Saccharomyces cerevisiae S288C: one gene and its partners. The protein of the gene in region 1 binds, or shares a complex with, the protein of each later gene. Each region holds a gene or a part of one and is shown on either strand. Other genes may lie near its edges.

What was found.
Region 2: MRPL13 (region 1) and MRPL33 share a complex: the UniProt entries of both Saccharomyces cerevisiae proteins name them as parts of the mitochondrial large ribosomal subunit.
Region 3: MRPL13 (region 1) and RTC6 share a complex: the UniProt entries of both Saccharomyces cerevisiae proteins name them as parts of the mitochondrial large ribosomal subunit.
Region 4: MRPL13 (region 1) and MRP7 share a complex: the UniProt entries of both Saccharomyces cerevisiae proteins name them as parts of the mitochondrial large ribosomal subunit.

What each region holds. Positions count from the first base shown.
Region 1 is NC_001143.9:449,909-453,168, reverse strand, and holds MRPL13 (mitochondrial 54S ribosomal protein mL50 MRPL13), read left to right. Parts: upstream 1-1,951; coding exon 1,952-2,746; downstream 2,747-3,260. Other genes in the region: RSC4 (Rsc4p), read right to left, coding at 1-968; MEH1 (Meh1p), read right to left, coding at 1,181-1,735; YKR005C (uncharacterized protein), read left to right, coding at 3,002-3,148, 3,218-3,260. UniProt on the Saccharomyces cerevisiae protein: Component of the mitochondrial ribosome (mitoribosome), a dedicated translation machinery responsible for the synthesis of mitochondrial genome-encoded proteins, including at least some of the essential transmembrane subunits of the mitochondrial respiratory chain.
Region 2 is NC_001145.3:840,199-842,738, forward strand, and holds MRPL33 (mitochondrial 54S ribosomal protein uL30m MRPL33), read left to right. Parts: upstream 1-1,743; coding exon 1,744-2,004; downstream 2,005-2,540. Other genes in the region: NGL2 (RNA exonuclease), read right to left, coding at 1-1,493; DSS1 (exoribonuclease II), read right to left, coding at 2,238-2,540. UniProt on the Saccharomyces cerevisiae protein: Component of the mitochondrial ribosome (mitoribosome), a dedicated translation machinery responsible for the synthesis of mitochondrial genome-encoded proteins, including at least some of the essential transmembrane subunits of the mitochondrial respiratory chain.
Region 3 is NC_001148.4:197,257-199,877, reverse strand, and holds RTC6 (mitochondrial 54S ribosomal protein bL36m RTC6), read right to left. Parts: upstream 784-2,621; coding exon 502-783; downstream 1-501. Other genes in the region: tRNA (34-2'-O)-methyltransferase regulator RTT10, read left to right, coding at 1-383; MRN1 (Mrn1p), read left to right, coding at 2,090-2,621. UniProt on the Saccharomyces cerevisiae protein: Component of the mitochondrial ribosome (mitoribosome), a dedicated translation machinery responsible for the synthesis of mitochondrial genome-encoded proteins, including at least some of the essential transmembrane subunits of the mitochondrial respiratory chain.
Region 4 is NC_001146.8:620,798-624,236, forward strand, and holds MRP7 (mitochondrial 54S ribosomal protein bL27m MRP7), read right to left. Parts: upstream 1,632-3,439; coding exon 516-1,631; downstream 1-515. Other genes in the region: TOR complex subunit LST8, read left to right, coding at 1-181; HRB1 (mRNA-binding protein), read left to right, coding at 2,118-2,147, 2,490-3,439. UniProt on the Saccharomyces cerevisiae protein: Component of the mitochondrial ribosome (mitoribosome), a dedicated translation machinery responsible for the synthesis of mitochondrial genome-encoded proteins, including at least some of the essential transmembrane subunits of the mitochondrial respiratory chain.

The DNA of each region.
Region 1 (3,260 bases):
CCACCAATAGCTAAGTAGTTTTCGAATTCGAATTTGTCAAATTCTAAATTAATTTCGCCACGTTCATTTAAATCCTGTAACTCTGGGAAGAATTCCTTTTGTATTAAGTAGTTAAAATAATTTGTTAAAGTTGTTGCGTCTTTGTAAATCAAAGCGCTTGGATCATTGAATATATGAGCATTCTGAAAAACTAAAAGCATATCAATGATGAAATCATATATCTTGGAATACTGACCAATTTCGAGGTTCTGCTTTACGATCGATAAAGCCATGGGGCTATGCACTATTTCATAATATTCAGGAAGTTCATCTTTATCGACTAATTCCATAAACGGTTCACTTAGCTTGACTTTGTCGTCTAAGTTTTTAGGAGATGACGCACCCAGCAGAGCCTGGTTGATTTTCTTTTCCGTGGCGTCAACTAGCTTATTAAGATAGTGCAGTAATTTGGCTTTGACCTCGCTGTTAATTAAGTAATTTCTTTTCAAATTTTTTGCCTTCAATACTTCAAATTCAATCAACATTACTACTTGCATGGAGTTTTTTACAATCAAACTGTCATATTCATTGTAAGCTTGACAATTCTTTGTCAGTAGCTCAACATCCAAAAGAAAATTACTTGGACCATCTTCGTATTCATAATCTCTTGACTTGATTTCATTAATAGACATTGGCTGCTGGATCTTGTAATAATACTGTGGATGAAACTTCCTACTTGGTAGTTTGATGAAATCTTTGAAAATATCTTTGTATTTGTCGATAAGAACATCCAAAGTGAAACTAATAAATCGATTAAATTTAGGTATATGCCAGTCATCTAGAAAAAGTTCAGATTTAGGGTTTAATGGGGCGTTATAATCCACATGCGGAGTTTTCTCTTGGTTTTTAGGATGTTTTCCCGGCAAGTATTTAGGCCTTTCATCACTGCCACCGGCCTCAGTTGCCAACTTACGCTTCTTAACTACCATATCTGTGTACTTTATCTATTATTCTTTGGTTTGCTCTCTATTGTAATAACAGGCTGAGGGTCGTTTTAAACATCATCCTCTAGCATGCTTTTGTTGTTTTTTTTCTTGGGCTACTTGTCTTCCGAATTCGTCAAATGTGATTTTTTATTTCATTAACTATTTAACATTTATTTATAAAGCTTGTATACCAATGATGTTATACAAAAAGTTCATTAAAAGGGAACCGTCAAGGGGCCTGGTTTGTTTACCTGGGACTGGCTGAAAATTTCATTTAGTATATTAGAGTGCAACTTCTTTAACTGTTCCTTTGATATTTTCGCTGAATCCGGTGATGTAAGCAGAGTAAACGTATTAGTCCTTGGTGCAGTTTGGTGAGTAGTTGCCTGTGCGGATCCGCTTGAAGGCACTGAGTGCCCACTGAGGTTGTCATCACCTGCACTCCTTTCGTCTTCCCGGGAATCTCCACCTTCTTCCTGTTGTCTTTTATCAAGAGCTTCTTGCAGGTCTGTCCCTTGAATTACAATGCCACTATTGTTTATCATCGATATGTCTATTAGTTTATCGTTGGTGTTTGCAACAATGTCTCTTAACTCTTGTTCCCTGGCCAGCAGTTTCTGTTCGTGTTCGTGTTCCTTCAACCGCATTTGTTCGGCATCGTATTCGTCATTTGCGTTTCCTTGACTTCCATAGCCTGCCTGCTGTTCCCTCAGCAAAGCTTCATTCTCTTCGCCGGAATGGTTTCTACAACAGCTGAGTACGGCTCCCATTTTTACGACTTAAATCTGTCGTTGTATCCACTACCGCTATACTGGATTCGTACTCTGTGAATGCTCTCTTTTATTCTTCGTTCTTTATCGCTGCTGGTGAGGCGGGTAGCTGACAAATTTATAGTGAAACAACGACTTCTGTCAAATTAACTGCATGCCTGATCATCAGTCCTGAAGTGAATAATGGGTAGACGGAAAGGCGGACATAGTATGAGGATGTCGTCACTGCTTAAATTACATTGTATTAGACCATTGCCGCAAAGGTCGGTCTGGCTCTCTGGCTACAAGCAGAAAGCCAGATGTATTCACAGTTCCGCTGCAAACGGGGACTTTATGTCATGGTTCAAGAGGAAGAAGCAAGAAGAGCACCAAGAGCCTGTCAAGGACACCAAACAGTTGATAAAGGATATTGAAGAAGGCACTAACGAGGCTTCCTCTCAATCCTCTTCCAATAACAAAAACAGATTGGAGCTAATACCAGAAAATTTTATTGGCGAAGGGTCTAGACGGTGTAAGAGACAGAAGGAGTTGAAGCTTGCGGTCTCCTCTGCGCCATTCAATCAGTGGTTATCCAGGGATAAGATTACGTCTGATAATCAGTTAGATGATATGATATTGCAGGCAACGGAAAAAACATTGGGCAAAGTAGACCAGGACGTCCAATTCTCTGATTTGGTAGCTAAATTTCAGTTCACCAAATTTTTGCAATCTAAATCTGGCTATCTAATTCCTGATTATGAACTGACCACTTTAAGCACACCCTTGCAGTTTAAAAGGTATATTAAGGAAAAAATTTTGCCATCTGCCAACGATCCTAAACTCGCTTATAAAGAAGCTGAGCCAAATGCTATCCACCCATTTTCTGATAATTACGCGTCACCAAACATATATGTTGTTAACGATGTTACTTCTAAAGAGCAAAAAAGTAAATATGATACTATTATGAAAGAAATTCAAAAGTTAGAGGATGATGCAACAAGAAAAGCTTTGGAAACAGCAAGATCCGCTTAGCTTATGTTAATACTATTATTACTACTATCATTACATTTTAATATCCTGTACATATATATACTCTTTGAAGAAGTTTGGATTTTTCTTTCCCATTATAGATCACTTTTTTTTTTTACCTTATCTTTTCTGTAAGTTCTTTTTGTGGCTATATTTCCTCTTTGGCGGCTAACTCAAGAAGCAGTAAGGGAATAATTCGTTACACATTACAGCTAGCTAAAATCATCAAGAGGCAGGAACACACGAGATATACTGATAATGTTGGAATGTCTAAGCGCTCTGCTGGTTCTCTTTGCCGGTGGTGGTGGGAGCGTTCTCGCAGCGGTTCAAAGCAAAACTGTGGCAGATCCTAACTTATGTCCAGGTTACAATTCACAACTGATTTCCCCCTTCCTCTCCAGTTGCGTATGTACAACAAATTTACCGAGGTACTAATATTCTCTAGATTTTATTACTGACAAGATCCATGTGAAGAAACGAAATTTAAGTGAATGCGTGTCCCGTTATTTTGATGAAC
Region 2 (2,540 bases), on another chromosome or scaffold:
CCAACATGTGGTTGTCCATGCTTTGTCATTTCATTACCGGGCGGCATTCTCAAAAAACCTCTGCATTTAACTTTATTTTCTTTTTCAAAATCGCCAAGGGTTTCCACTTCCTGACAATTACTTTGTGGGTCCCATTTCTTTACATAAAATAGATAGTCTAATAAACCACGCCAAGTGTTTGCCCAATTTGAAATTTCAGGCTCACCTCTATCATTATCAAGACCTGCATTTTCTGGATGAACATTCTTATACCCAACAGAGTATAGTGAAATAGCCCTCATATCCAATGAGTTATGGAGTTGTGCCATTTTATCTACGAGTTCAGACTGTTCTTCATTAGCATGAAATTTTTCAGGAACGGGGCTCTCAGGTTGATCTTTACCATATTTTTCAATATTCCCGCCTTCTTCGTCATCTGCACCTTCTTCGCCATCACGGACCTTGGAAAACTTATATGAAGTGCTGCACCCAATGACGGTCTTTGCCCTGTTTCTATAGTGCACTGGTTTGGATGTCATAGATAAATATGGTGTGTCGAACGGCTGGGAATTAAAATCACCACAGAAAAAAGGAAACCAATGAGATAAATCCCCATCATTTTCGTTCTGTAAAACATTCACACGATGCATGAATTCCTTCATCTTTTTTAAAACAATATAGCATTGTCTTGTTCGTTCATAAGTACCAAATGGATGCCAAAATAGATGCGTAGTGCCGATCAAGATACCGCATTTTTTAGACGATTTTTTACCCAAATTCGACAGTACTTTCTCAGAAAACTTCAAGGCTAAGACTAATCCCACGTTGTTTGTCGTTGTTCTAGTGGAAATGCTTTCTGAACTTTCTTTATCATAGTCGATTAGCATTTTGTCAACCTGGTGAAATAATTCTCTCCTCCACATTATCGCGACACCATGGTTTTTTGTAGCATTTCTATAATATTGTCCATCGTATCCCAATTTACTGAATTCATCTTTCCAAAAGCTTTGAAACTGAATATGATCAATCTCTTGCAAACAAATGACATCGGAATTATAATATTTAAACTCGTTTAAGAGAACTTTAGAACGCCTGTACCATTTTAAAGCGTCACCACTATCCGGGAACAGCTTTCTGCGGATTAGAGCTTGCGCCAAGCAATTATAAGTCATTAGCTTGAATCTAAATCCAGTTACTGGCTCTGCCTCATGTAGAGATAGGAAAGGTCTTCTGATAAAATGCAGCTCTGGCGGGCAGTCCGGATCAACACCTTGAGCCAACATTGCATCTCTTTTAGCCTTTCTCATAACTTCCCTTTCGGCACGAACCTTAGCGATATGTTCTGGGGTCACTATGGGCTTCGATTTTTTACCTTTCTTGCCCTTCTTTTTATGTTGAAGTAACGAATCATCATTGGTTTGATGTTTTGCATCTTTTACAGATTTATTAATTTCTACTTCTTGGTCGGGCGCAACATCTGGGGCAACCACTTTGACTTCTTTGTCTTGTGTCATATTTACTTAATACTCTTAACTACAATTAAGAAGCTATAAGGAGACTACAATCTCATCTTCTTGCAACACTACTTTTCCTTTCCTCTTGCTTTAGTGCAACCATTTTTTGAAAAATGAATGGTCTTTCTGCACGAAATATCTCTCGAAGAGCTTTTCTAGATATTAAGGATAAAGTATATCATCCCAAAAGTTAGGTGATGGAATCAATATTGATGGACCAGCTAAAACACGTTGAAAGCAGATATCAGGAATGGTGTTTTACAAAGTCACGTTGAGTAGGTCGCTTATCGGTGTGCCACACACAACGAAGAGCATTGTCAAAAGTTTGGGTTTAGGTAAAAGAGGGTCCATAGTCTACAAAAAAGTAAACCCGGCCATAGCTGGCTCCCTAGCTAAAGTAAAAGAGTTAGTCAAAGTAGAAGTAACAGAACATGAATTAACACCATCGCAGCAACGAGAGTTGAGAAAGTCAAACCCTGGGTTTATAGTGGAGAAGAGAACCATCGACTGAAACAGCGAAAATAAGGCAACTGGATTTCCTTTCTTCTTGATATTCCTGACTTATATATGTATATAGTATTATTTTTTCCTGCATAGGCACATATGTTAATAGTAATTTATGCAATTTTTGATACAAAGAAATCAATACACTATCTCGATTTCATATTTTATGTATGTATATATTTACAAGAAGAAAATTATGCATGGTCTATTGAATTTTATATTTGGAAAAAGAGTCCCTTTTTATAGCTTTTCCAACTCTAACATTCCTTCTAAACAGTCAATTTTTGAAATTTTACAATTCTTCACGATATCTCCAATCATCGGATAATGCATAGAACTTGGATGCAATTTTAATGTTCCTCTAGCGAACGATAAGTCTGGAAAAACACATCCAGTAAATCCGTTCTGCGGTACTGATGTTACCATTACATCGAAAGTCCTTTCTGGCTCTAGTTTGGTTAGCTTTTTTAAATAATTCAGTGTCCAGTACGTCGACGAATTACGGCTAGCCCTTTTTAAAATATCCGCTCGAGATTGAATTGG
Region 3 (2,621 bases), on another chromosome or scaffold:
CCCTAGACTATGTTGCTAATGCTACAAGAACTTCCGCCACAATTTTGACAGGGGGTGATGATAATGGTTTAGGGTTAAGCAACCTGAAATTAGATGACTCGAATAAAGTAACGTTAAAAACAAGTGACTTTATCGCTGCAGCAGCTTCTTCGACAATAACGTCCGGTATGTTGATTAATGGTGGCAAAGAAGTCATTACCACATCGGTTGATCAAGTAATACGCGCTTGGGAAATTACCGCAGGCAAGCTTTCACTGGTAGATAAAAAGCGTACCACTGTGGCGGATACAGGATCATTAGAAATCATTTCCAATGATGAAGATGCTGATTCTGAGAAAACGTTACTGATCGGAGGTGTTGGTTTATCAATTTGGAAAAAATGATACAAAAAATTAACATATACATAAAAGAATATTATAGATATGTATTATTTACAGATTTTAGAAAATGAGAATATTTTGTAAACACCCGAACGGAGAACAGCGAAGAGATTTACATCTTTCAGCCTTGACGCTGTTTGTGTTTTTTATTCGACTTGCAATAAATGTATACTCTTCCCTTTCTTCTTACCAAGTAGCAATCACTGCAGAACTTTTTGACAGATGTTCTGACCTTGAAACCTCTGTTAAAAACCAAAGGTCTGTTAGCTGCAACAAGAGCTGGTTGCGGAGCTGCAACAGATAGGAGGCTGGGCACTGTGCAGGCCCTTGTTATCGTTATGGGGGACGGTTTCATGTGCAAAAACATCCTTGGCATAGTTAGGCGGAGAGTCTGTAAAAACATTCTTTGAAATCCTTTCGCTTGCTGAAAAATTCTGAGATTTGTACTATGAACCGTAGCCGTTATATGCGAGTAGATCGAGGCTATATCCCAATGCCAATAGTTCCACGATTCATTCCCTTTCTATTTGGAATAAGTGCGAAGACAGAATTTTTAATTTCGGCTTGGGTGAGAGAAAAAAAAAATCATAGTTTCGTTACGCAGATAGTAAATAACTAATACATAGATAAAAGCACCACCTTCTACCGGACCGTCGTCATTCTCGGCAACACCGTTGAAGTGTTTATGACTACGCTTTTTTTATCCTCACTTTTGGAATGCCCTTGAACTATGGACCTTTCACTCCCTATTGACAAATTCAAAAGACAAAAAAGGGAAACACTTGGAAAAGGTAACTTGACGTCCAATAATACACGCCGAATGAGGGCAGACTATGTCTTTCTTCCAACTGCCGTGGCAGTTGCGTACTTATCATTCTTATGTTCTTACAGTGGGATTCCACCATCATGGTAACCCGGTGCTTTTTTTCCTTGTGGTACGATTTTGGCTATGAGAAGAGAAAGAAAAGACAGAAAAAAACACGATCTTGAAATTAACTTTACCAGAAAGTGGATCTTGTGGTTGTCCGAAAGTCTACAAAGAGATTCAGTCACAACCGCAATCATACTCCATCCCTTCGTCACAGCAATAAATTAATCAGTTTCTTTGCCTTTGGTGGAAAGTAAAAAAAACTAAACTTGGTTCAGCACAGCGCTATATCTACGAGAACACCGTTGCCCACTCTTATACATTATTTTCACAGAGTCACATTCCCCACTGAATTCTCTCCTTAAGCTTCCTTTCTCTGTTTATTTTACCAATTTACAATTTCTAGAACTGATAGTCTCTGTACCTTTCCTTTAGATACACATACGCTTCATTTCTTTTGAACATTGTATTCTTCTATTTTCTTCGTTCTTCCGTTATTTGATATTTGCCCCTTTTTAAGTCTTCTGACTCACCTGTTCTGCTTTACCAATTAGGCTCCTTAATTGGTTCAACTGTCCATTCCAGCCTCATATTTTTCACTTTATCTTTCTTCATCATTTTTTTTGTCTAATTAATATCCGTTTCCAACTTCAATTCTCAAGGACACTCTTTTTTTTTTTGAAAAAAAATATCATATTTTTCTTTGCTAATACTATTTTATTTTTTCAATTCTGGTCGTTGAAGCCTTTTCTATTCAGATATTTCCTAAAGAAAAACAAAGAACTATCGTTGTATTTTTTTTTTTCTTCACCATCACATACTACTTCAATTGCATTAAAACATGGTGGTTTCTTATAACAATAATAATAACAATAACAATAACAATAACAATAATAATATCAGTAATAATAATAACAATAATAACATGTTCCCTCCTTTTCCTTCTTCCGATGACTTTGCAATGTATCAACAGTCCAGTTCTTCCGGCCCTTACCAAGAAACTTATGCGAGTGGCCCTCAAAACTTTGGCGATGCTGTGTATCCTATGAATGGTAATTTTACTCTTTTACCATCCGACTTTACACGAGAGCCTAATGATTCGTTCTTTTACGAGAATGACGGAATTTTTGATTATCAGCGTATTCAACAGCAACCAACTCAATTCCAGACAAAGCAGCGAAATGATTCACAACAGCAACGGTTTTCACAGGAACAAAATTTCGAAATTGATAACGAAGTTGTCCACAATAACAATCGTTATTATGAATATGAAAGGTCATCAAATGAAGTCTCTCCTTTTGATGATGAGAATCCAAATGTGTTATCTGATGGCATGTCACCCACTATTATGGCAACTGCAACTGCAGTAACCA
Region 4 (3,439 bases), on another chromosome or scaffold:
GACATTGGATGGCCACCAAAGGTGGGTTTGGGATTGCGCATTTAGTGCTGACAGTGCGTATCTAGTAACGGCATCGTCCGATCATTACGTGAGATTATGGGATTTATCAACTAGAGAAATTGTCAGACAGTACGGTGGACACCACAAGGGAGCTGTATGTGTCGCATTAAACGATGTATAGTTTACAATTTATCAACTACCAAGCTTGAAGGACCGAAGTGACAAAAAACATTATGATTTTCAGTGTTTGCTTATCCGCCTTTTTGTAAATATAGATTTTACTATCCTGTGCATTTTAGTTAATTGATTGTTCACAAAATGAAAGCAATCGCGATGCATATCATCAATGAAAGGAAGACGAGAATGTACAGTATAAACATATTCCCTTGCATGTAGCACTAAATTTTAAGTTTCGTGTAGACGAAAGGTTTAGCTACTTGCGCGACAAAATAGTAATATTTACAGGCATTCTTAAACATTTTATATGTGTACATACTGTGCGTAAGGAAAGAAAATCAAAGCTTGCTCAAAAAAGCCCGCCTACTTCTAGCAATGACTTCAACTTTATTTTTGGTGTAATCAAAACGTCTAGACACAATTGACTTCTTCCCGCTTTTGGTTTCAACCGTACTATCTGTTTCGGGGAAGACCGACTTTAAGTATTTCCTACGCAAATGTACTTCTTCAGATAAAGTCAAAAAATTACAAGCGTCCTTGAAAAGCGCCTTAATATAATTCTTGTCTTTTTTGGTTTCTAAGTGTTGGGATTTTTCTAGGTCCTCTAATAGTTTTGCCTTCAAAGCTTGTTTTTCTTGTTCCGAAATATACTGGTGTAGCTCTAGCTTGTTATTGAAAGATGTAGATGAGTTCAAAAGATCACTACACTCATCAATCTTGGATAGACTCTCCGACAATTTCTCATTCGTCCAGCTTTCTCTCCTTGCCTTCAAACGCTCTTCTTCTTTTAAATAATATCTACTATTGAACCTTGCATCTTCTATGGGGTATCCATTCTTCAGGGAAGCCCTTACACGAATTAAGTATGACGTTGCCAATTCGATGTCTTTTATATCTAACTTAAGTTCATCCCGAAGAACCTTACTCAACTTGTCTTGTAACTCCTTTCTTTTAGATTCCCTGACCTCTAACTGCTTCAAAATATTAGGTTTTGCGAGATAGTCTTTTCTAGAAATAGAATTTTCTTCCTTATATGCTGCCCTTTTATTTGTTAACTCAAAACGGCCAAACCTCCTTACGGTAGGCTCAAAATGAGGAGATGGCAGTTTCAAATCACGCCTCAAGGCAACACCAATGAATTTTCTTTTAGGATGAAAAGGATCAAGATAGTAACGAACAACACCAGGTTCTAAGGCGAATATGGAATGATCTTTCCCTATACCAACGTTTTCTCCAGGATAAAACTTTGTTCCTCTTTGCCTCATAATAATTTCACCTGTGGAAACATCCTGGCCTTCATATTTTTTTGGTCCTAACCTTCTTCCTGCAGAATCCTTCATACTTGTTCTCGAGCCCGCAGCCCTTTTGGTGGCATTACGCACTTGAAGGAACACACCAGACACATGTTTTTGGAATGAAAAACTAGAAGTATCTAGTAAAATAGGATTCCACATATTCTCACCTTAGGTTAAGCTTGAAATATTATGACCACCCAAACTGGCGAGTTTTATTTTTACAATGAGCCAACTTCATTCTTCAGTGAACTATCTTGAATGAGTCTCCAAAGAAAGAGCTTTAAAATTCAATAGCGGAACGTCAGATATCGAAACACCCAGTCATAACAGCCAAATTTGCATAATTGGTATAAAAACAGTGTGTATAACATTACAGAGAAGCCGTTGTGTGAAAATCTTTTTAGTACCTATTCAACCAAACAATTGAACTTGAACACCAAACTCTAGCCATCCTTATCCTCTTCTGGTCACTACATATACCTCAATTTACGTCTTTCCTTGGGTCGTTTCAAATGACTCTCTTTGTTTAGCGAGGGAAATGAAAAAGTAGAGTACTGGCTGAAAAATTTCATAATTATGTTTGCTCATGAGTTCGAAAACAGTTTGAATGAGCAGATAGAACGCCAAATATTAAGTTAACAGGATATGTCTGATCAAGAACGAGGTTCAGAAAACGTATGTTTCATTGATAAGGGAGGTGAAGAAAAGTTTGTAAAATGAGACTTTATGAGGTCATTGGAATTAAATAGACATCAACGAATGGTGAGTCACCATTTAATGCTGCCTTCAAAACGCTTGCTTCAATGTGATTCCACTGGTTAAAGGGGGTTTTTTGAATGCATTGCTAATGTTTATCTACTGGCTATGAAAGTGAGAATATCAATTATAAATAAAACCCTGATTTTCTACCTGCCATGCTATAATGTACAGTTTATTCCAACTTTGAAACGCAATGACTTATTGGTCTCTCTCATTATGAAATTTAGTTACTTTTACTAATGTTATTCATTGTTGTAGAATAATCGAAGTAGATCGAGGTCGAGATCACCTGTTCGTCGTCGGATGAGTGATGATCATGGTTATGAAAGAGACAACCATTTGTCCCGGAGGTCAGGTAATTATAACGGTAGGCGTAAGTTCGCAGATACGTACAGAGGAAGCAGAGATAGAGGAGAATATAGAGGAGGTAGAGAAAGGTCTGATTACAGAGAAAGAGAAAGGTTCAATAACAGAGATAATCCTAGATCTAGAGACCGTTACGATGATAGGCGCAGAGGAAGAGATGTGACTGGTCGTTATGGGAACAGACGTGATGACTATCCTAGAAGCTTTAGGAGTAGACACAATACACGTGATGACAGTAGGAGAGGCGGTTTTGGTAGTAGTGGAGCAAGAGGTGATTACGGTCCTTTGTTGGCACGTGAATTGGATAGTACATACGAAGAAAAGGTCAATAGAAACTATTCCAATAGTATATTCGTGGGTAATTTAACATATGACAGCACCCCCGAAGATCTCACTGAGTTTTTTTCACAGATAGGAAAAGTAGTCCGCGCGGATATAATTACATCAAGAGGGCACCACAGAGGTATGGGTACAGTAGAGTTCACTAATTCGGATGATGTTGACAGGGCCATCCGCCAGTACGATGGGGCCTTCTTCATGGATCGTAAAATCTTCGTCAGGCAAGATAATCCACCACCGTCAAACAATATCAAGGAAAGGAAAGCACTCGATAGAGGAGAGCTTAGACATAACCGAAAAACACATGAAGTTATTGTAAAAAATTTACCTGCTTCCGTTAATTGGCAGGCTTTGAAAGACATATTCAAGGAATGTGGGAATGTCGCACACGCTGATGTGGAATTGGATGGCGATGGAGTATCCACTGGATCTGGTACGGTGTCCTTTTATGATATTAAAGATCTGCATAGAGCGATTGAGAAATACAACGGTTATAGTATAGA